Linked DNA regions of Arabidopsis thaliana. The protein of the gene in region 4 interacts with the protein of the main gene of each other region in a pairwise test. Each region holds a gene or a part of one and is shown on either strand. Other genes may lie near its edges. The genes, in order: MPK18, MYB3, AT3G16560 and BRX.

The links.
Region 1: the proteins of BRX (region 4) and MPK18 interact in binary tests that used the Arabidopsis thaliana proteins (3 or more experiments, as listed by UniProt).
Region 2: the proteins of BRX (region 4) and MYB3 interact in binary tests that used the Arabidopsis thaliana proteins (3 or more experiments, as listed by UniProt).
Region 3: the proteins of BRX (region 4) and AT3G16560 interact in binary tests that used the Arabidopsis thaliana proteins (3 or more experiments, as listed by UniProt).

Annotation. Positions count from the first base shown.
Region 1 is NC_003070.9:19,969,792-19,976,100, forward strand, and holds MPK18 (mitogen-activated protein kinase 18), read right to left. Parts: upstream 4,603-6,309; 5' UTR 4,368-4,602; coding exon 4,344-4,367; intron 4,136-4,343; coding exon 3,727-4,135; intron 3,631-3,726; coding exon 3,503-3,630; intron 3,413-3,502; coding exon 3,353-3,412; intron 3,017-3,352; coding exon 2,867-3,016; intron 2,779-2,866; coding exon 2,623-2,778; intron 2,504-2,622; coding exon 2,292-2,503; intron 2,158-2,291; coding exon 2,056-2,157; intron 1,850-2,055; coding exon 1,674-1,849; intron 1,601-1,673; coding exon 1,170-1,600; 3' UTR 543-1,169; downstream 1-542. UniProt on the Arabidopsis thaliana protein: Mitogen-activated protein kinase (MAPK) that is specifically regulated by PHS1 and MAPKKK20 and mediates signaling that regulates cortical microtubule functions, maybe through regulation of microtubule dynamic instability.
Region 2 is NC_003070.9:8,004,090-8,007,996, forward strand, and holds MYB3 (myb domain protein 3), read left to right. Parts: upstream 1-1,974; 5' UTR 1,975-2,199; coding exon 2,200-2,332; intron 2,333-2,333; exon of another isoform or gene 2,334-2,409; coding exon 2,410-2,539; exon of another isoform or gene 2,540-2,572; coding exon of another isoform or gene 2,573-2,619; coding exon 2,620-3,130; 3' UTR 3,131-3,371; downstream 3,372-3,907. Other genes in the region: AT1G22630 (SSUH2-like protein), read left to right, coding at 1-78.
Region 3 is NC_003074.8:5,635,045-5,640,547, forward strand, and holds AT3G16560 (Protein phosphatase 2C family protein), read right to left. Parts: upstream 3,755-5,503; 5' UTR 3,237-3,754; intron 3,064-3,236; exon of another isoform or gene 2,686-3,063; 5' UTR 2,659-2,685; coding exon 1,570-2,658; intron 1,489-1,569; coding exon 1,224-1,488; coding exon of another isoform or gene 1,204-1,223; exon of another isoform or gene 1,135-1,203; coding exon 1,007-1,134; 3' UTR 552-1,006; downstream 1-551. Other genes in the region: AT3G16565 (threonyl and alanyl tRNA synthetase second additional domain-containing protein), read right to left, coding at 5,487-5,503.
Region 4 is NC_003070.9:11,445,629-11,450,743, forward strand, and holds BRX (DZC (Disease resistance/zinc finger/chromosome condensation-like region) domain containing protein), read left to right. Parts: upstream 1-1,658; 5' UTR 1,659-1,692; coding exon 1,693-1,694; intron 1,695-2,135; coding exon 2,136-2,289; intron 2,290-3,197; coding exon 3,198-3,589; intron 3,590-3,686; coding exon 3,687-3,816; intron 3,817-3,918; coding exon 3,919-4,238; intron 4,239-4,346; coding exon 4,347-4,425; 3' UTR 4,426-4,564; downstream 4,565-5,115. Other genes in the region: NIP3;1 (NOD26-like intrinsic protein 3;1), read left to right, coding at 4,832-4,963. UniProt on the Arabidopsis thaliana protein: Acts as a regulator of cell proliferation and elongation in the root and shoot. Regulates roots architecture and primary root protophloem differentiation.

The DNA.
Region 1 (6,309 bases), 8.5 Mb from region 4:
ATAAATGTGAGTCTATTTATTAGCTCTCTACTAAATTAGGACATTTCAGATCAATTAAAATAGAATGAAATTTTGATAATTAATTAAGTATGTGTATAAAGAAAGAAATAAATATATTGCATCGTTTTCCAAATTATAGTGATTGACGAATAAAATATGATTTTCCTTATTTTAGAAGGTTAATCGTGGTATTTAATTAAAACACCTGGTTTATTTATGATATAACGTAGACATGTCAGTTCAAATATTTAATTAGTTGATTACAAAGATAAGTACATGTCAACCTAAAATTTAATATCATCATTTCAACCCAAAAAAAACCTGAGATTATATATAACGGATCATTCAATGCAAGATGCTTAATGCCACCGTCACGTAACGAAATAATTGATTTGCTTCCTTTTTGGTTAATAAATATTAAATAGATCAAATGTGTACACTTTCTCATGACTTGTTAAATTGAGAAAGTGATATTCGTTATGATTAATGGACGCCTAATATTACCTTTAATGGGCTAAACTCAGGCCTACAAACTTGGCGGGTAAATTATAAACATTTCAACGGCGTCAAAATTTCGAAGTTAAGGCGAATTTCATTGTTAACCATGATGAGTCTTGAGGTCAAGAGCATTCCTTTTTTTCATTGGCAAGTTTTTTTTTTTCTTTTTGTAACCATTGAATAAAATTGACTAATTATATAATCTGAGAAAGAGTGGTTTACAGAAGAAAAATCTAAGGACCAATGTTTTATTTTGTTACTTCCACATTCTTCGGCATAATGTTGTCTATATTAACCAATCAAGACCATATTTTCCAATAACCAAAGAGATTCCTTTTTTTGTTGAAGAACAATAAAGACTAATGGGACCGATTAAGAAGTTTAAGAAGTATATAATCACCACGATATTCTTCTCTACGGTGAACTACGCTTATGGCAAATTCAAAGATTATGGAGCCAACAAGATAACCGAAACAATAACCGGGACTGACCCGCAATCAGACTAATCCAAGGCGATCTTGTTCTGGAGAGTTACAACTAAATAAAAGTCTTTCTTATATCATTGCAACGTAGTTCATATCAGAGCCTGGACTGAATAATACTTACATAAAAACTAGAGAATCACCTGGTGGAGGAAGATGTGGTGGTTAAAGATCTGTCTGAAGTGTTGTCTATGATGCTGCGCTGTAACTAATTGTGCCTATGTTCCGGTGTGCTGCTACTGCAACCGCTGCAGCTCCTGCTGGACCAAACTGTGATTGTGCCTGCAACAGCTTAGCATCAATGGCCATATGTGTGTTGTTGTTTAATTGATCTGTCTTCGGGAGCTGTGGTTGAAAGTAAGGGTTTGGGTGGTTCATAGTCTCAACGTCTGCTTGGTTAGTTGTAGCAGCTGGTGGCTCAGTGGGACTGAATTGGTGGACAGGATTTTGTGGCTTTGGTGGAAAAGACGAAGCTTCTATGTTGCGGTTCTCCGGGTTTGTCATGGTGTTTGGTCGGAAGTAGCAATGAGGAGATGAAACCGCGCTTCTGAAATAAGCTTCTTTGAGGTTCCTGCCATTCTCATAAGATACAGATGATTCCACAACACGACCTGGTCTACCTGTAAAACATAGGGTGAAAGTTAGTTGAAGTTTCTAACTTTAGGAAATAATATTTGGAGATATGATTGAGACCTGATGGTGGAACTCTTGGTGGAGGTCCGATGGATTTAGTAGGATACGCGGAAGTTGATGGATGTCCTGCAGAAGAAGCTCCATTTTTTGAAGGCTCGAAAGAAACACGTCTACTATCTGTTGCACCCAAGTTGGGTTGCGAGGTGGAATGGACTACAGTTGAGTGAACCGTAGACCTGTGGAAAACAATCATATCTATTAGAATTAGAAGAGTAGAGAACATATGAAAGTTTTTAGAATTAGAAGAGTAGAGAACATATGAAAGTTTGCTTGAGGCCTTCGACCATATGCTTCACAAATGCTAAGCAGTAGCAGAAGAAAGAACAAAAGAATAAGCATATTCCCTACAGTCGACTTGTATATAAAGAATGAGAAAACATACCGCGGTAGTGATGCGTGTTTCCTCTCGAGAGGTATGACCGGCCCATTTCTACTGCTATTTTCCTCTAAGTAAGTGAACTGCTGTCTAAGATGTCCAATGGCGCTGCAAGTGAAAAAGTAAAAACATGAATAAAAAGCCAGGCAGAGGTACGCGATTGGACATAAATTCAACGGGAGAAAGAAACAAGAAATGTTTCATTTGGTAAATAATAATAAAAGGTAGGAAGAAATTCAAACCTAGGATATACAAAATTAGACCCCTCAGATCCGCTCATATAGTCCTTGAGCAACTGAGGATGGTACTCCAGTATTTCTCTGTATATTAGTTCTCTAATGTCGTCCTTTGTCAACCTTCGCCTCTCAAATTCAAACTCCATTTTCGAGATTTGCTGACTTGAAGGTTCTCTTTCAATCTTAGAAAGACCCTTGAAGTAAGGATCAGCTAATGCCTATCGAAAAACAAAAAGATAGCAAAGTAAGCAGAGAGATACACACAAGACGCAAGGCAGCTTTACAAAGAGGACCGAAGAAGAATCTAATTACAAAGTGAAAAAGACAGAAAAGAGACCTCTGCAGGAGTCGGTCGATCCTTTGGATCGAAAGCCAACAGCCTCTGCAAAAGACGGAGTGCTAATGGATCTGCTTTGGAAAATTTTTGCGAGAAGGTGACAGGATTTTTCTTCCTCATTTCAGTCAAGTATTTTCTAGCTTTATCATTACGAACCTGCATCAGAGAAATAAATGTTTAGCTATACAGTTCAATATATATACGTACTCCAGAAATTAATGTGAAGAAGAAAAACGGATCATACTCCAGAAATTGTTTCTGATTTTGGTGTGCCAAGAAGATCAGTAATCAACTCCAACTGATGGACAACACTTTTTCCCGGAAACAATGGCTTCCCTGTTAGTACCTCTGCAAAGATGCAGCCAATGCTCCAAACGTCGATAGCTGGAGTGTACTGCAGAATAATTTTGACTGTAAATCAGATTATGATGAAAAAACAAAATCCATGAATATGAAGTTGCAGATGCAAAAGAAACCACTCAATGAACATAACCTGATACAAGGTTACCTGATTCATAGATTTTCAACTTCGGGGAGAGTTCAAGTCATCCCTGAACAAGAATTATTTTAATATCCCACTGGGGCACAACTCTATACTTATACAAGTAACATCAAATATCAGCTATTAACACTAATCTGCATATATTCTACACTAAAGAAGACTAATCTGTTCATAAGACCTAAGCATAGCCAATTAGAATGCATAGAAGAAATCCACAGTAACACCTACCTTCGAAAAGAATGATCCACAGAGCTCAGGTGCTCTATACCATCTTGTGGCAACATAGTCCTGCATTGCGATTAAATGAGTCAGAGAGAAAAATCAAACACACAAATTAACGGCTAACAAACAAAAGGTCTCCTCCTCGAGGCTACTAACCGTCCAAAAGACTGTCGTAGGAGTATCATTAAACGCTACTCTAGCCAATCCAAAGTCACAAACTTTCAACTTGCAATTTGCGTTTGCAAGTATATTCTTTGGCTTAAGATCACGGTGATAAACATTAGCTGCATGAACAAAAGGATAACAGTAAGTTACAACCAGAAAAAATACAAAACATGCTGCCAAGATTCACAGGTCTGAAACAATGAAACGAATCACACCTGTATGCATGAACTTTAAAGCACGAAGCATCTGATAAAGGAAAAACTGGTGGTGTTCACGAGTCAAATCATCATTAGCTTTAATAACTTGATGAAGATCTGATTCCATGAGCTCAAACACAACATAGATATCTTTAAACTCTCTCTTAGAAGGAGGCAGCATAATGCTTTTGATCTCCACAATATCAGGATGCCGTAAAAGCCGAAGAAGCTTCACTTCACGGAGAATACGAAGCGCATCAGAAATATGTTCAAAGACATCATTAATCTTCTTAATAGCAACTTTCTCTCCAGTATGTGTATCAATAGCTGCACACACAACTCCATAGCTTCCTTTACCAATAACTTCCAGAATCCTATATCTGTTTGCATCACCATACTCTGTGAAAAACTCCATCTCTTTCGTGCCCTAGTGAATCACAAAAGTAGACAAAACACAAACTTTATCCACACATCTTATTTATGCTCATGCAACAAAACCAAACCTAATTGCAATTGAAAAAGGAAAGATTTTATTTTTTTTGTCTTTAAATTTGTAAAAGGATAAGACTTTATCCTCTGTTTCCCACATTTAGAATCAAAGCATGATTGAGAGAGATAGAGAGCAAGAAGCGAACCTTCTTCACTTGATTTTGTTGCATCTTCTTCTTCAAAATTATCAAAAATCTGGATCGGCTTTTCGAAAAGTAAAAAAAAAAAAAAAACCTAGATTGCTAAGAATCCGAAAACTAGAAGAACTCAAAATCAAGCCCAGTCTGTGAAGAAGACGATACAGAGAAGAGCAAAACCTAGATCCAGCGATCGAAGAAGAAGAAGACGAGAGAGGATTTTAAAAATACCGAATTTGAGATATTTTTTCTAAATTTGAATAAAAATAATTTCTAATTCTAGCAATTTCTCGTGGTACTTATTGCGTACGGGTGTGACAAATCCCAGATAGTGGCAGTTTCGTAGTTTTAGACAACATTTGAGGGTAAAGTAAATATTGGTTTTCTCCCACTGTGGTCTGTGGACGACCTTTTTGGAAAATGACCCAATGGTTTAGACACCTGTTGCTGGACTTGGACCGTTTTATTTTTCTTAAATTCCGATTTTGACCCCTATCTTAATTTTGTTTTGATTCTAACCATTCTTTTTGATAAGTGGTCAATTTAACCCCCACGTGATAGTATTTCTCGTACCACTGAAAGGAATATTATTAACATTATCTCAATTTTGCTTATTATATTCCTTGATTTAAATTTTTAAGATTGAAAAATCTATATACAATTGACTAATTCATATGTAAATAAATATTGTTGAAGGATATTTGTCTTAGATTTTAATTTATTTTGGTAAAGACGATACACGATTAATATATTAGGATAAAATACCATCTTTGATGAACATTTATTCCATGTAAATCAACTAACCTTGAGAAAAAGACCTTCCAAGTGTCAAGTTGTTTGCTTGATACTATGGGATGATAAAAACAAAATCAAAAGAAAAAAAAAAACTGCCATCCTCATTGGTATATGACTTAGTATTTGATAGAAAATAAAATAAAATAAATAGATTAATAATTTTGCAATTCGTGTGAAACTAATATTCACATGTCAATTTACACAATTTGGCTTTTGTATTTATTGAAAAGACCAACATATTTAGTGTCTGGCTCATATTAAAAGTTTATCACAATAGGGGCAAATCCACAAAAAGGTGAAGATTATGATAATATTATAACTGATCTTGATTAAAACAAATCCAACATCTTATTATTCATTTGTATCTGAGGCATTCAAATCCAAAGTTGGTTCATTATCTAAAGTACAAAATATCATAATTTCAAATTATCATACTCCATATAATTTCACACTATACGACGATGTAGGTGGTGCATGTGTCAATTTATTGTCAATATTTTAAGGCGTTATAACTTATAACTAAAGTTGATCCTTTTTGCATATTTCATTGCTTTTCATTTTCTTCTACTTTCGGTTTTAAAATCATAATTTTACTCTCTTTTGACTAAGTGCGCATTTTAAAATAATTATCGGCCAAAGATAAATATAAATGATGGTTGACTGGTTCTATCTATTTAGACCAGGCTCTGCATAATATATATAACCAGCATATCTATTTTTAAAATAGTTTTAATGGTTTTTCAAAATGATATATATAATATTTTGAATTGCAAGTTTAATAATTCGAAGATATATATATATATATATATAATCATGAGTCAGAATTCAACAGAGTGGACACAATATTACCATTCATCACATGAATCATGCTTTTCGTGTATGTATGTTTTAGAGTTTTGACTGGAGGAGCCAAAATATCTCCACCAAGCAGATTTATTTTGTTTGTTTATTTATTTGAGTTACATCTTATTAAAATTCCATGAACCATATATAATGATAGAAGAAAAAAGGGATCACCCATAAATAATGATAATTTGTGCACAACTATATATTATTGTTTTCTTAACTTTTGGTTGCCAACAACTCTATATTATTAGTGCAAATATAATAATGTTGATGAATAAAAGACAATGCATCCTAATAATAAACCAAAATATAATGTGTAAATGTGGTCCAGTGA
Region 2 (3,907 bases), 3.4 Mb from region 4:
TGTCAAGGATTTGGTATGAAGAGTTGTCCTAAATGTGGCAAGGGAGGCTTGACGCCTGAACAGAGAGGGGAACGATAGACTTATACTATTTGTTTTTCCTACATAAGTTAATTTTGTGATACAAACATGTCTCTATTCCTATAACATTTCAGTCGTATAATTTGCATGTAAAAATAAAAATCATTAATAAATTATATTTTCGCTAGAATATTACAAAGCGTTTAGAAATGAGAAAGTGATATTAACAAAGTAAAAAAAAAAATGATATATTGTTAAGAACACATAAAATAGTCACACTTTCTGCTTACAAAACGGAAATGTAACTTTTAGTTGGCTTTTAACACGAAATATTAAGTTTTAGTTGCGCTTCGGACGTTATGTTTTTTTGAATCGTGTTTTCGCCATGTTCTTTTGTGCATAGGGAACCTTCGATTCCAATTCCATATCGATCAGTGTACCTCCGAAGAACCTTTCTTTGAACGTCGTAGTTCATGTTAGCCAATAGTCAGGAAGACTCAGAAGGTAGAAGTGTTGTACAACAATGTTTGGCATTTGGCGTAGCGTGATGAAATTAGAAGCTTGTTTGCGGTTAGCCATGTTGGGCTTTGCAAGTAATGGCCCATGACCAATACAATGCTATGAACAAAAGGCCCATCCGCTCATGACTCTTCTTATGTTTCTTTCTTAATTAAGCATAGATTACTAGCTTATGACAAAACATTGAAGATTGAACAGTAGTTAAATTACGTTGAATAGTAGTTAGATTGTACGGGGTTTTCTATATAAGAAAAAATGTTTACGATTGAGAAAGAAAAACAGAACTATAATAAACTTATGAAATTAAGCTTTAGATAGAATTACATCACTGTTGTAAAATTCAACTCCTCTTTAAATATTGAAAAGAATTCTGATAACTTCTGCAAAAGTGCAAAGGACTAAAATACGTATGGGGCGTGTGAGACAAAAACATTTAACATTTATACGATTCTATGCGACTAATTTATCTAATCGCCTGTTATAGCGACGTTATTCCAATTTCCAAGAAAAATCATCCCAATGTTGATTGATACCATTTAAGTACCTTACAAGTTACTAGTAAATTCATTTTAAAAATGTATTCTTTAATTGGACCGTCGTTACAATGTGAAATCCGAAAATAAAATATAAAAAAAAACTTAAGAGACACAACAGTAGAAGAAGGACCAAGTACACATGCCCAAACCCAATAATTCAGTTATCCAACTAATCTAAATAATATTCATGTTTTTATAATTGAAGAGACAAAGGAGAGAGGAATGTGATAAAATCATAAGAAAGGACACGTGGAGGTACGTGAAGGAAGTAGCGTGTGGAGAGAGTGATTGGAGAAGAGAGAGATGAAAAAAGACAGCTACCTACTCATCTTCCCAATCTATCTACCTACTTTCTCCCAGATCTACTTTTTTTTTGTTCTTTTTAACATTTTCCCAAAATTAGGTTTAAGTACTTTTTTTTGTTAATAATGCAGTAAACAATTGTTTAATTCAATAATGCAAAAAAAATTGGTTTAATTTTCCGCTAAACAAATTTATTGATATTAAAACGAGTTTACAAAATCGTTACAGAAACTAAGAAGTAAATTTGATGATGTTAAAAACACTTTATTCACTAACTGATTAGTGATTACTTAAACCGTTATTTAGTTATTTTCTCTTTTATAATCGATCTTTTTATACGAAAGTTACGCGTGACTATATTTTTTTATATGCAATAAGAATGGTTAAAAACAGTACATGTTGCAATGAATTGTGGAATTTGTAAAATGATTATGATATTTTTTTTGAGCAGATGAGATGATTCTAAAGAGCCAAAAAGTCAATAACCAAAACCGTACGATCTACATCTCAGAAAACAAAAAACAAAAAAAGTTAGGAAACTCCACCCACGTTCCTCCTGTGAGTGTACTACAATCAAATTTGTGTTTTCTGGTTGGTGTTACAATATTCTTTAGGCACAAAAAAACGAACACATCATTTCATTTGTTAGATACATTTTTATTTTTAACTTTGGTATTAAAATAATGTTAGGTAGTTATTATAAATAACATTCAAAACGAAAACACCATCCTACAGGAACTCTCTTCCTTGCAAAAAAAATAAAACACTATTTCCTCCAAATACACGTAGAGAGATACATATATACATATAGAGATCAACAAAGATGGGAAGATCACCATGCTGCGAGAAAGCTCACATGAACAAAGGAGCTTGGACTAAAGAAGAAGATCAGCTTCTTGTTGATTACATCCGTAAACACGGTGAAGGTTGCTGGCGATCTCTCCCTCGCGCCGCTGGTACTTATTCATACATCCTCTGTTTCTTTATATTTACAGAGAGGTAAAGATTTGATTTTTGATTGAACTTTGTGCAGGATTACAAAGATGTGGTAAGAGTTGTAGATTGAGATGGATGAATTATCTAAGACCAGATCTCAAAAGAGGCAATTTTACTGAAGAAGAAGATGAACTCATCATCAAGCTCCATAGCTTGCTCGGTAACAAGTTAGTCTCTTTCTCTCACACTTTTTTAAGAATATGATTATATTTGTGAAAGATTCTGAAACTTTGTGTTGTTGTTATAGATGGTCTTTAATAGCTGGGAGATTACCAGGAAGAACAGATAACGAGATCAAGAACTATTGGAACACTCATATCAAGAGGAAGCTTCTCAGCCGTGGGATTGATCCAAACTCTCACCGTCTGATCAACGAATCCGTCGTGTCTCCGTCGTCTCTTCAAAACGATGTCGTTGAGACTATACATCTTGATTTCTCTGGACCGGTTAAACCGGAACCGGTGCGTGAAGAGATTGGTATGGTTAATAATTGTGAGAGTAGTGGAACGACGTCGGAGAAGGATTATGGGAACGAGGAAGATTGGGTGTTGAATTTGGAACTCTCTGTTGGACCGAGTTATCGGTACGAGTCGACTCGGAAAGTGAGTGTTGTTGACTCGGCTGAGTCGACTCGACGGTGGGGTTCCGAGTTGTTTGGAGCTCATGAGAGTGATGCGGTGTGTTTGTGTTGTCGGATTGGGTTGTTTCGTAATGAGTCGTGTCGGAATTGTCGGGTTTCTGATGTTAGAACTCATTAGAGAGTCAATCGAGAATTCTTTAGGAATCTTTTTATATATTTAGATCGTCAATTGTGTTTTTTTTTTGTTCACATTTGTTATGTAACATCAAGTAAGAAACTAGCATAATTATTTGATGGCAAAGCCAAAAGATTGTGCTCAAAGAAATTTATAAAAACAACAATTAGGGCATGTTGTACTTGCAGATGCTAAAAAACGGTAATTTTTATAAATGTTATAATTTCATAATCTAGCAAACTAATTAATTTAATACTACATTTTATTTGTGATTAATCTTGTTATATGATATACGTCATATGTTTTAAGAGTTTTTTTTGGTTTCAAATTTCTATGTAGAATTAATGTTTTCATTTTTTAATTTACGTATGTCAATTAAATTCAGTGAAATGTAAATTTTAATGAAATTACCAAATTCAAGCGATGAAATCATGAAATCACATTTTTTTGCGTCACAAATAGTTTCTGAAAATATGTAATAATTCCAAGCCATGTAACTTAAAAATGTGGAGACAATATATAATTCGATGTCAAATTTCACCTATTTGAAGTGTTCCTATTAATTAGATTATACTATTGAATGAGTCATTTCAAGCAGATAATACGCAGAGCAACTTTGATGCAGACGTTAAAACCATACCTAAATGATGTTTGGTTTGGTGTCGTCACTTTTTGTATGTGCTTTTTAGTTCTTGCCTATTTTTTTGGCTATTCGCATGTCTTCTCTTCATTTTTTTTTGATTTTAACATACTAATCCACTTACATTTTGAATTTCAAAT
Region 3 (5,503 bases), on a different chromosome or scaffold from region 4:
GAGGTTTCTTGTTCTCCAAAGGCAACCTCAAAACCTTAAAATTTGAGGTTTCATTTTTTATTCATTTTGGTCCTTACAAATATTTATGTCTTACAGATACTCTTACTAATATATTATTCTATCATATTAGTCCTTAAATTTTTATGTCTTATTTTGATGTATGGAGAGGAAGTTGTGTGGATTAGCTTGTTGACTTTTCCATCAAGTAACTTGCCAAAATTTTGTGGCATTAGTTACTTTATCTATGACAAGACCACCCTAATTATGTGTTGTGGTGACGATGAAAGTCGAACGGCTTGCATCTATATTTTTGAGGGGAGATTTGTTCAAGAAGATTCAAATTGACTGGGTTTTTGTTTTCCCGGTGTTGTTACTGTGCTTATCCTCCCAATTTTATCCCGTTCCTTTAGGTTCATATTGCAAGCCTAATAATTTTATCGGATTTTCTTGAATCTTGTTCATGTCTCTGTTTTCTTAGGTTTATTACCATTGTAAGATGATAATATATAGACTTACTATCTCAAACATTGATGATCAACACACTTTCACTTCGAACTAACCAAAATGTTTGTAACCATTGAGTCAATTTTACAAATATACGTAAGACATATAAAGTTGTGAACAATAAGGTGCTTATAGTGTGTCACATGATTAAAGATCATCGTAGGCCACCCACATTATTTCACTAGTAGTTAGCCCATTGACAAAACCGATTCAGTCTATGTTAGAACTTAAAATCCAAGGTAATAAACCAAACCAAGTAAACACCCAAAAGCCCAAAAAAATAAAAAACAGAACATATGACTCAGGCTGAGACAAACTGATGAATTCTAGGCTCGCAACTAAGACTACTACAATGATATATATATACGGACTATACATGAAATAATATTATACCAGTTCCAAAGAATTGAAAAACTGATGATCAGTTCCAAAGTCTAAAAGAAGATCAGTGAGACTAATTACAATTTTACCAATCCAACATTTGTCGCCATCATCATCAAAATCACACGAACGTAGAAGCTTTTGAGGTACGTTGATCGGTACCTAGAGTGATTACCATTATAGTCACATCGTCATGATATCTCCTTCTCCTACCAGCCGGAACATTCGTCAATTCTTCCAAGGTAAAGCCTACATCAAAGTGTTTTCTTTTGTCATATAGTAGATCATGAAGTCTGCACACATTTTGTGAAGTAAACATTAACAAAAAAGCATCTTACCAGCACGAGCAGCAGCTTTAGCTACAAGACGTTCAAGCAGAAACTTTGCTGGATCACCAGAAGGATTACTAGAAACGAAGGAATGGACGAGCCCAATCGCTTCCTCGTTGCTGAAGAAATCAAACAAACCATCGCTTGCAACTATAACAAAGTGATCTGATTCCGTTATCTTGTGAACTCTCATCGATGGTTCCACTGAAACATAAGGCGGGCTCAAAAGGTTACGAACGCGGAGGATCCCCATGAGTGCATCATTTAGTTTCTCCTGCAAGTTAATAGAGAAGAGCTACTTGATACTTTTTCTTTCAAGTATAAAACTCATAACTTAAAAGAATAATACTAATACCTTCTTCAAGTAACCAACTCCGAGAGCACGAGTAACTTTAAGCTTTCCTTTGATTTTCCCACCAATAACGATCTTAGGATCATCAAGATGCTCACTTAAGAGTCTAGCTTCTTCGACTTCGTTATCAACTGTATGATCCTCTGTGAGCTGAACAGCTTGCAGCTTCTTATTACCATTGTAGGTCGCTAGAACAGCTCTGCTATCACCAAGATTAAGGACGTATAGATCCTTCCCAACCAGGAGAGTGACCAAAACACAAGATCCAACGGATACTAAATCCGGTCTTTCTTCCATTTCTTGCTCAACCATCCTTAGGAAATCGGTTTCCGCCTGAAAAAGCGCACGGTTCAAGCAATCTAGTACTCCTTGCCTGAACAAATCAGTGGAAGAGTAATCTACATTACTTATATTTGATAACAATTCCAACTTTTCGCCATCATCATCGGACTTTGTTTGCTTCATTTGACGATCAAGCAACTGAAGATGAAACACAATGGACTCATATAAAGTACATGCCAAGAAATCAGCAGCATCTCTTCCGTTGAATCCATCATAGATAGCGCAAAACAACCAACCATTCTCCTCAGAGCAAACAGCTTGAACTCTATCTTCCCCTGCAGCACCACCCGCAACTTGAACTTCCATAGCAGAGAGAAGAAACCCTTCATTAACAGAAGAAGGAGAACTCATTGACGTCAAGTAACAAGATTCAGGCTCAGGAGGACTCGGACTAGTAGACGAGCTGCAGCTTAGACTCACCATACTTCCATGGAGAGAAGGAGAGAGTATATCAAGCTTCGAAAGCGCAGGCGAAGACGGAACTTTCCTGAAAGATTTCGGAGAATCCAGAGACGGCAATATCTCAGAACCAATGACTCCATTGCAGATATTAGTATTGGCTAAAGTGGGGTTTCCACTTAAAGCAGCTCCTGATAAACAAGAGAAACTGCTAGTCTTTTGTAGCCTAAACCCACCAAGAACCTCACGACCATCAGCAATTTTATCTTCAGGGATTCCTATCTTCTTATTATTGCATTGATAACCAAAACTTATCTCAATCTCACCATACGGATCAGTCCCTTCCTGCATTTTTTTTCTTCACTTTCTTGCAATGTTCTGAAACAACAAAAATCCACAACAAAACCATAAAGTTTAGTCCTTTTTTTAACTTGAACAATCCTAATGAAATCTTAAGACTAATACAAAAACCTCACACTTCAAAAAAGTTAGCTGCTTTAATGACCTTAGAGACAAAATACGTGGTGAGAGTCTAAGCACATATCGAAAGTGAAGATAGATGGGGCCAAGGTAACGAACAGTTACATAAGTTAAACGTGAGAGTTAAGAAAAAAATGATATTTTTCATAGGAGGCCATTAAATGCAGACCACAGAAGTTGTTGGGAAATGTTTCAGATAGAATGTTTATACAGAGATAAACTAACTAAAAACCCAGAAAACACAGAGAAACTTATAGATTTGGTATCATCAAAGTATTCACCGTGACATGTGTTCATATCTATATGGATTACAACAATATATGGATATATCAAAAATTCCATTGATAAGATAAATCAAAACTCGCAAACCAAATTGAAAAGATTAAATAAAACAGATTATCGGAACGAGACATTGGGGATGTTATTGATGATGAGAGAAATGGGTTTACCTTAAACGTATACGGGGATGGAGAAAACCAAAGAGAATCGAAGATTCGTAGAACTGAGAAGAAGCGAAGCGAATTTAGAGAAAAAAGAACAAATCAGAGGAGACGACGACGACGAATAAAAATGAGTGAGAGAAAGTGAAATTGGATGGAGGAGAAGAGTTAACGAGTGAATGTTTTTTGTTTGCTAATTTTGGTAGTGTTTATTATATAATCGAAAGCCCTCTCCTTTATAATGTTTTTTCACACTTTTCTTCTCTCTGTCTTTTTCGTTTTTGATTCGTTGCTTTTTCAGCTTCTTCTTTTTTTGTACATCTTTTAAATTTTTTACCAAAAACAATGATAATGCTTAGTTTTTTTATTAGTATCTTGGTTGAAACTACAGAGGTCAATTTGGGTATTCTGAAATTTTCTTGCTAAGATACTTTCAGATATTTTTGGTAGAAAAATTAGAATCTTTTGTTTTGGGTGGTGTTGCATAAGTAGAAGAAAAAATGTCTATCTACAGAGCAAAAATTCATAACTCGTCAGAAAGAAATGATCAACAAGATATTTAATTAAACGAGTAAATAGAAAAATCTATCGACGAAAGTGAAAAACGAAGATAGGGTCAACAATTCAAGGCAATAAGTGTGTGTAGTTGACATTTTATCCTGATGATGTCATCCTCAGATCTCTACCGGTAATGTTATATTTTATTCATCTCTAGCTCTATTATTTTCTTGGACTGCTCAAAGAACCAATATAATACGATTATAATTTGGCAAGAAGGGCTTACAAGGAACATTAAATTTACCCATATCTTCACTATGAATCTTTTTCAGAAATAATATGATTTATTTGTGATAGATGTAATCGTGTAATATCTTCTGATCGAATTCAGAGTGGTAATTTACTATGCAATTTATTTTTTACGGACAACAGGATAAAATAACCCAAAAATACATGGTGACGTTTTACAAAATCTGATCTTTTGAGTACTAGGCTAGTACTAGATGTCGACGTAGCGTACCATCATAGTTGCCGCAAACAGAGACGTGAGGAAGTAAATTAATAAGTAGATACAAATAAATAATTTAAGCTGTAAGCAAAAAATCGAGAATGTTTAAGAGTTAGGTTGCATGACGTTAAAGAAGGGAGCAGATCTAACATTTTGCATCTCTCACCATATATTATAGAGTTTAATAATCGAAAGTTGTTAAATCATATCAAGAAGCAACACGAAAAGTATTAAACAATAGCTAAAGACGCAATGAAAAACGTCTATAGTTTTGTACCATTTTTTTTTATCTCGAATATTGACTTGGTGAATTGAGCTAATAATCTAGCTTATAGCTTTCACACCTGAAAAAATCAATTTCGATTTTTTGCATATTCAGAAGGTCCCATAAACCGTGACCGGTACAGCCTTAACCGGTGTTATTCATCAAAAACTCACCGATTGATTCGGTTTGGAAAAACAAAATTTACGTTTTTAAAACCGTTGATCGCATACATGAATGTTTTTGCCTACCTAAGGTTAATTAGTAAGTATACTAAGTAAATCAAACCGATGCATGAATAAAAATCTAGGACCAAATGACCGGTACGATTCTACAATACCAAGAGTCAATATATTAATACTAATTAAGAGGCTGAGTGGAAGAAAATATCACATCAATATCATATATCATATACGACTTATCAATAATAGAGAGAGTCGTTTAAGAGATTGATAAATACCCACAAATACTGATTTGTGGCTGTTGAGGCACAGGAGAAGCTGCTTGCTGTTGAAGCCAACTGATGAAAACAGTCGTCCTCACTATCATTCCCTTCCTGAAAATGACATTTGATGACAATTCTATAATTTCCATTTAGCTTACGTACCGGTTTTTGGCAGTTTACAATGAATAGGATAGATCTCGGTTTGTCTTTATCACCGCGATTTTTCAATAATCATTACACAATTTCTGCAAGCTGTTGTGTTATGTGTATCTAATGAAAGCTCCTAAGTCTCTTAAATCACATAACCTGGGATTATTTTCTTTGCGGACATCTTATCGAGACAGTACTATGTATAGACGAGGGACTAATTATAACCAAGGATTGTTCAGGGACTGACAGTAAAAACTACGGCGGTTTAAGACTAAGAACTAATGGGACTACTTATATATATCGTTATGAAATAACGGTATCAACACGAAGTGAGTGATGAGGATTACCTTGACTTATTGTATATCTACCGTATAGAAACTGGAACCCATAAGAGTTTCAAGATGCAATGGTGT
Region 4 (5,115 bases):
GGAGATTTTCTCAGTGAAGTTTATTACATAATCAGATTCGAAGAAGAAGACATTTCAGGTGAGTTTATAAAAATTCTCTTTTTTGAAGATTTTTCTCGGGAAAATAAGAAAACAGAGAGATTCGTTGCTCTGTTTCTGTTCTTCTGTAGAAACGATTAGTCACTGGTTTTTTTCCGATCGATCTTTTCAATACTATTTTTTCCCGGAAAAAAAAAGATTCAGAGATTTTTTTTTTTTTTTTTGCGTTACCTTTTTCTGCAAACATTTGTCACTTGATTGATTTGATTTAGACAGATTCGATTCGTCATTTTTTTCTGATTAATACCAAAATTTTCTCACTAAACCCAAATCAGAAACTTCACCGAAAAATGTGTATTCATTCTTCAATATTAATATAAATTTTCATTTTCATTCAAAAGTTTCCCGGTATTTATTGTTCTTTTACTTTTTTGAGAAAACGCCGAATTTTTTCTCAAAAACATTAAAAGCAAAATTGTAGTATCATAAATTGTTTTCGTCCTTTTGTAACACATTTATTACAATTACTGTCTGTAACACTACTACACTAATCTTCTCTGCAGCCATTGATGGTCTATTTATAGACGTAGACTCAGAACTAACCCCACTCGTGCCGGCTTCCTAAATAGACCAAAGCCTTCAAGAGGAAAATAAAGCAGAAGCTAGCTATCTAGTATCTCAATAATCTCAGATCATATCGCTTCATTTCTCAGATATCGAAACACAAAGGTGAGTGAGTAATAAACAAAACCCACTAATCAAAATTTTATTTTTTGGATTGTAATGATTAAGAAAAAAAGAAGAAGTCGTTTTCTGAGGTGAGAATAATAATGGTTTTTGTATCAGTTTTTGCCTTTGCTTTTGATATCAAAACAGAGTTTTTTTCGTGATTCGTGATTGTTTTTGCGATTTTATCTTTTACTTTGGATATAGTTTTAGTTTTCATGTCGCGACACGCTTTAGATTGGTCCATCATCACTCAAAACCCTAAAAATAGAAACCAATCTCTTTTTCTTTTTCTTAACACGTGACTGTCAAGATTCCATTTTCTTGTTATATTTTTCAATTTTGTTTTGCTTTTCTAGTGTTTCCAATTGTTTTCTTCTTTACTTATGTATTTGTCTTGATCGATGTTAAACACGCGGAATCAGAACATATTATTTGATTCTCTTGAGTCATCACAATAATCTGATTTTTTTTTAAAATGTCATAAATTTCGGCTACTGCAAAAAAAATGTAATTATTCTTCGAACTTTTGTTAGTTGAGGGATGGGTTTAGGATCTTTTGCTGCACACAAAAGTATTAAGTTATTCTTTAACAAAAAAAAAAAACTATTTAAAGTAGAATAAAGAAGCATTTGTCTCTATTATGATTGTCTTTAGAATATATTATTACTTGTAAATAATGTGTTTATACAATTTTCAGGTGTTTAGATTTGCACAATTAATTTTTAAAATATTAGTATTTCTTAACTGGGTCCTATTTTCTGATCCCCAAGCTCTCTTTCTTTTCTAGTTATAACATCTTTTTTTTTTTAATAAAGAAAAGTGTAACATGTAGTTTTAATATCTCTTTCAACACTTTTGTCTTTATCAAGATCTCTTCACTAATTTATACCCATCTTTTTTTATTCGCTCTTAAAATAGGTAACACAAATATCCGACCATGGTGTAATGTAAACTGTTTTTCTTTCTTTCCATTTTTAAAAAATGGGTTTAGTACTTGAAATATTTAGCATTGGTTCTTTATGAGTTAAACTACTAACCAGTCAAGTTACATTTTCTTTTTGTTATAACATGAGTAGTTGTTTCCTGACTAGAGATATGTCAACAACTTTGTCCTTTTGTGTTTGTGTTTTGCGTTATAAGAAAACGACAATTGAAATCCAAATACCCTTTTCTAGCTATATGTTCCTAACTTGTAACTAATGTTTACATGTGTACTACGATTACATAAGCTTTACCCGTGTTTTATGTCGGATTGTGAGAGTGAGCTCTACTTTAACGTTCTTAATTACTTTTTGTTTTGTTTTGTAGAGTATTATTATTGATTTGAGTAGAGTAGTGTGAGGTTTGGTTTGTGATGATGTTTAATAGAGTACTCTCTGGTTTTATAGGTCTGAAAAGGCAGAGAACAACTCAAAAAAGAGACCAAAAATGTTTTCTTGCATAGCTTGTACCAAAGCAGACGGAGGTGAAGAAGTCGAACATGGAGCGCGTGGAGGCACCACTCCCAATACTAAAGAAGCCGTCAAAAGCCTAACCATTCAGGTCTCTCTCTTCTTTCTTTGTTGATCCTTCTTCTGCTTTTATTTTCTTTCACTTTATTTTATTGCTTTTCTCTAATTGCCTTGCTCGTGAAACAAACAAAGACACAAACCCCAATTAACGTATCTTAGAGGACTTAAAAAGGGTCCATATATTTGACTATTATTCGTTTTCTTTACCAAAGAATAGAGTTTGAAGTCATTAGTATATAGAGGTTACTGTTGTTTAGGACAGAGATCTTACAATGAGGTAACTTCACTTCATTTTTTGGAATCTTTCACCAATCTCTCTTTAATAGTTTTCATGTCAGTGTTTGCTTCCTCTCTATGTGACTAGACATATGAAAGTCAAAAACAACTACTGAAACAATTTAAACCCTCATTGTACATATCCTTGAATTATGTAGCCAGTTGAATTATCAGGACTATCATTAAAGCTTATATTGGGGTCATACTTTGATGAATATTGCTAGTGAAGCTTGATCTAAATACCTTTCTCTCAAATAAGCTTTAGTGGATTCTTACCTAGACAAGGAAATAAAGAAAGGGTTTTTTGGGGTGGGGGTAACTATTTTAGTAAATCAAAAGAACATAAACAAAAGAAATAGTGGGCCGTTATGATTGTGGTGCAGGCTAAGAAGACAATATGAAGTTTCTTTTTTTAATACATATGTTTAATTATGTTAGATCTCATAGCTTTATTGTTGTTCTTTTAATAATGATCATAGTAGACCTCTTTTTACTTCATTGGGCTAAAAAGTATACTTAGTCATACTTAAAAAGGCTTGAAACTACCTATAATGTTTGTGTACCGTTATACTCAACATTCTTGTGTGTTTAAATGGATTACTTTGATAAACAAGATAAAGTTTTTGAATGTAATCGGTCTTTTTGGGTGCATATGTTACGCAGATTAAAGATATGGCTTTGAAATTCTCTGGTGCTTATAAACAATGCAAGCCATGCACTGGTTCCTCTAGTAGTCCCTTGAAGAAAGGACATAGATCATTTCCGGATTATGACAATGCCTCTGAAGGTGTTCCATACCCTTTCATGGGTGGAAGTGCTGGTTCAACTCCTGCTTGGGACTTCACAAACTCCTCTCATCATCCAGCTGGACGGTTAGAATCAAAGTTCACTTCAATATATGGAAATGATCGAGAATCTATCTCTGCACAGTCTTGTGATGTTGTACTGGATGATGATGGACCAAAAGAGTGGATGGCTCAAGTAGAACCTGGTGTTCATATCACATTTGCTTCTCTTCCCACTGGAGGAAATGATCTCAAACGGATCCGTTTCAGGTATTTGAACTACTCAAAACAATCTCTATATCTTCATGGCATTCAACGCTGAAACATGAGATAAAAACTAACAATTACTTGTGTCTTGTTTTGAAAGCCGAGAGATGTTTGATAAGTGGCAAGCTCAACGGTGGTGGGGTGAGAACTATGACAAGATCGTTGAGCTTTACAATGTACAGAGATTTAACCGCCAAGCTCTCCAAACGCCTGCAAGATCCGACGATCAGGTAAACACATATATCCTTAGATCCCTTAGTCTTTCTTCAGAACAGGATCTATATGAATCTTGTCTTTTAAGCCAGAGAGGGTAACACAAGTTTATATTTCAGTCACAGAGAGATTCAACGTACTCAAAGATGGATTCAGCAAGAGAAAGCAAAGACTGGACTCCAAGACACAATTTCAGACCTCCAGGATCTGTCCCGCATCACTTTTATGGCGGCTCTAGCAACTATGGACCAGGAAGTTATCATGGAGGACCACCGATGGATGCAGCAAGAACCACAACTTCTTCCAGAGATGATCCACCTTCCATGAGCAATGCTAGTGAAATGCAAGCTGAGTGGATTGAAGAGGACGAGCCTGGTGTTTACATTACCATCAGACAATTATCAGATGGGACTAGAGAGCTACGTCGAGTCAGATTCAGGTATAACAAAACGTCTAAAACTAAGCATTTGCTAATCATATACATTTTGAAAGTTGGTAATCATACCGTGACTAACCGGAATCTATGGTTTTGTGGTTTAATCAACAGCCGGGAACGGTTTGGGGAAGTGCATGCAAAGACATGGTGGGAGCAGAACAGAGAGAGAATACAAACACAGTACCTCTAAGCAAACGAAATATTATGAGTACCAAAATCTTTAATTAATTAATTAATCTCCTTCACATAACAACACAAACTACACACATTTTGCTTATCTTTTTGTTCATCTTAGCTTAACATCTATACATAAATTAAGTGTTTTGAAATATCATTTCTAATCAAAGCTGATTACATTTACATATAATTATAAGTCTATAACTATCGTGTAAACCATGTCGTGTGTTTTGTGACAAAGATAAAGAAGTCAACTATGAACCTAAAAGAATTTATCAACATGCGGTATAGACTATAGAATAAAAAAGTCAACTTTATTATTTGCTTATAAGTTATAACGAATACAAAGTAGAGTTGACCATTTGAGTTTTTAGATGAGAAAACCATAAACTTGGAGGAAAGTCACCATAGTTCCATCAATGGCTGAGATTTCTGATATTACTACTCAGACACAAACCGTTGTCTTGGACATCGAAAACTATCAATCCATTGATGATTCCCGGTCGTCGGATTTATCCGCTCCTCTTGTGTCCGTATCGTTCGTTCAAAAGGTGAGCCGCCTCTTTTATGTTGCGATATGGTTTCTTAATTTGTCGTGAAATATTTGTTAGTCCAAATCAAGATTTTATATTTCGTGTGATGTTTGCTATAGCCTATATGCAAGCTCAATCTTGACTTTGGTTCTAATTATTGGTAACTGATT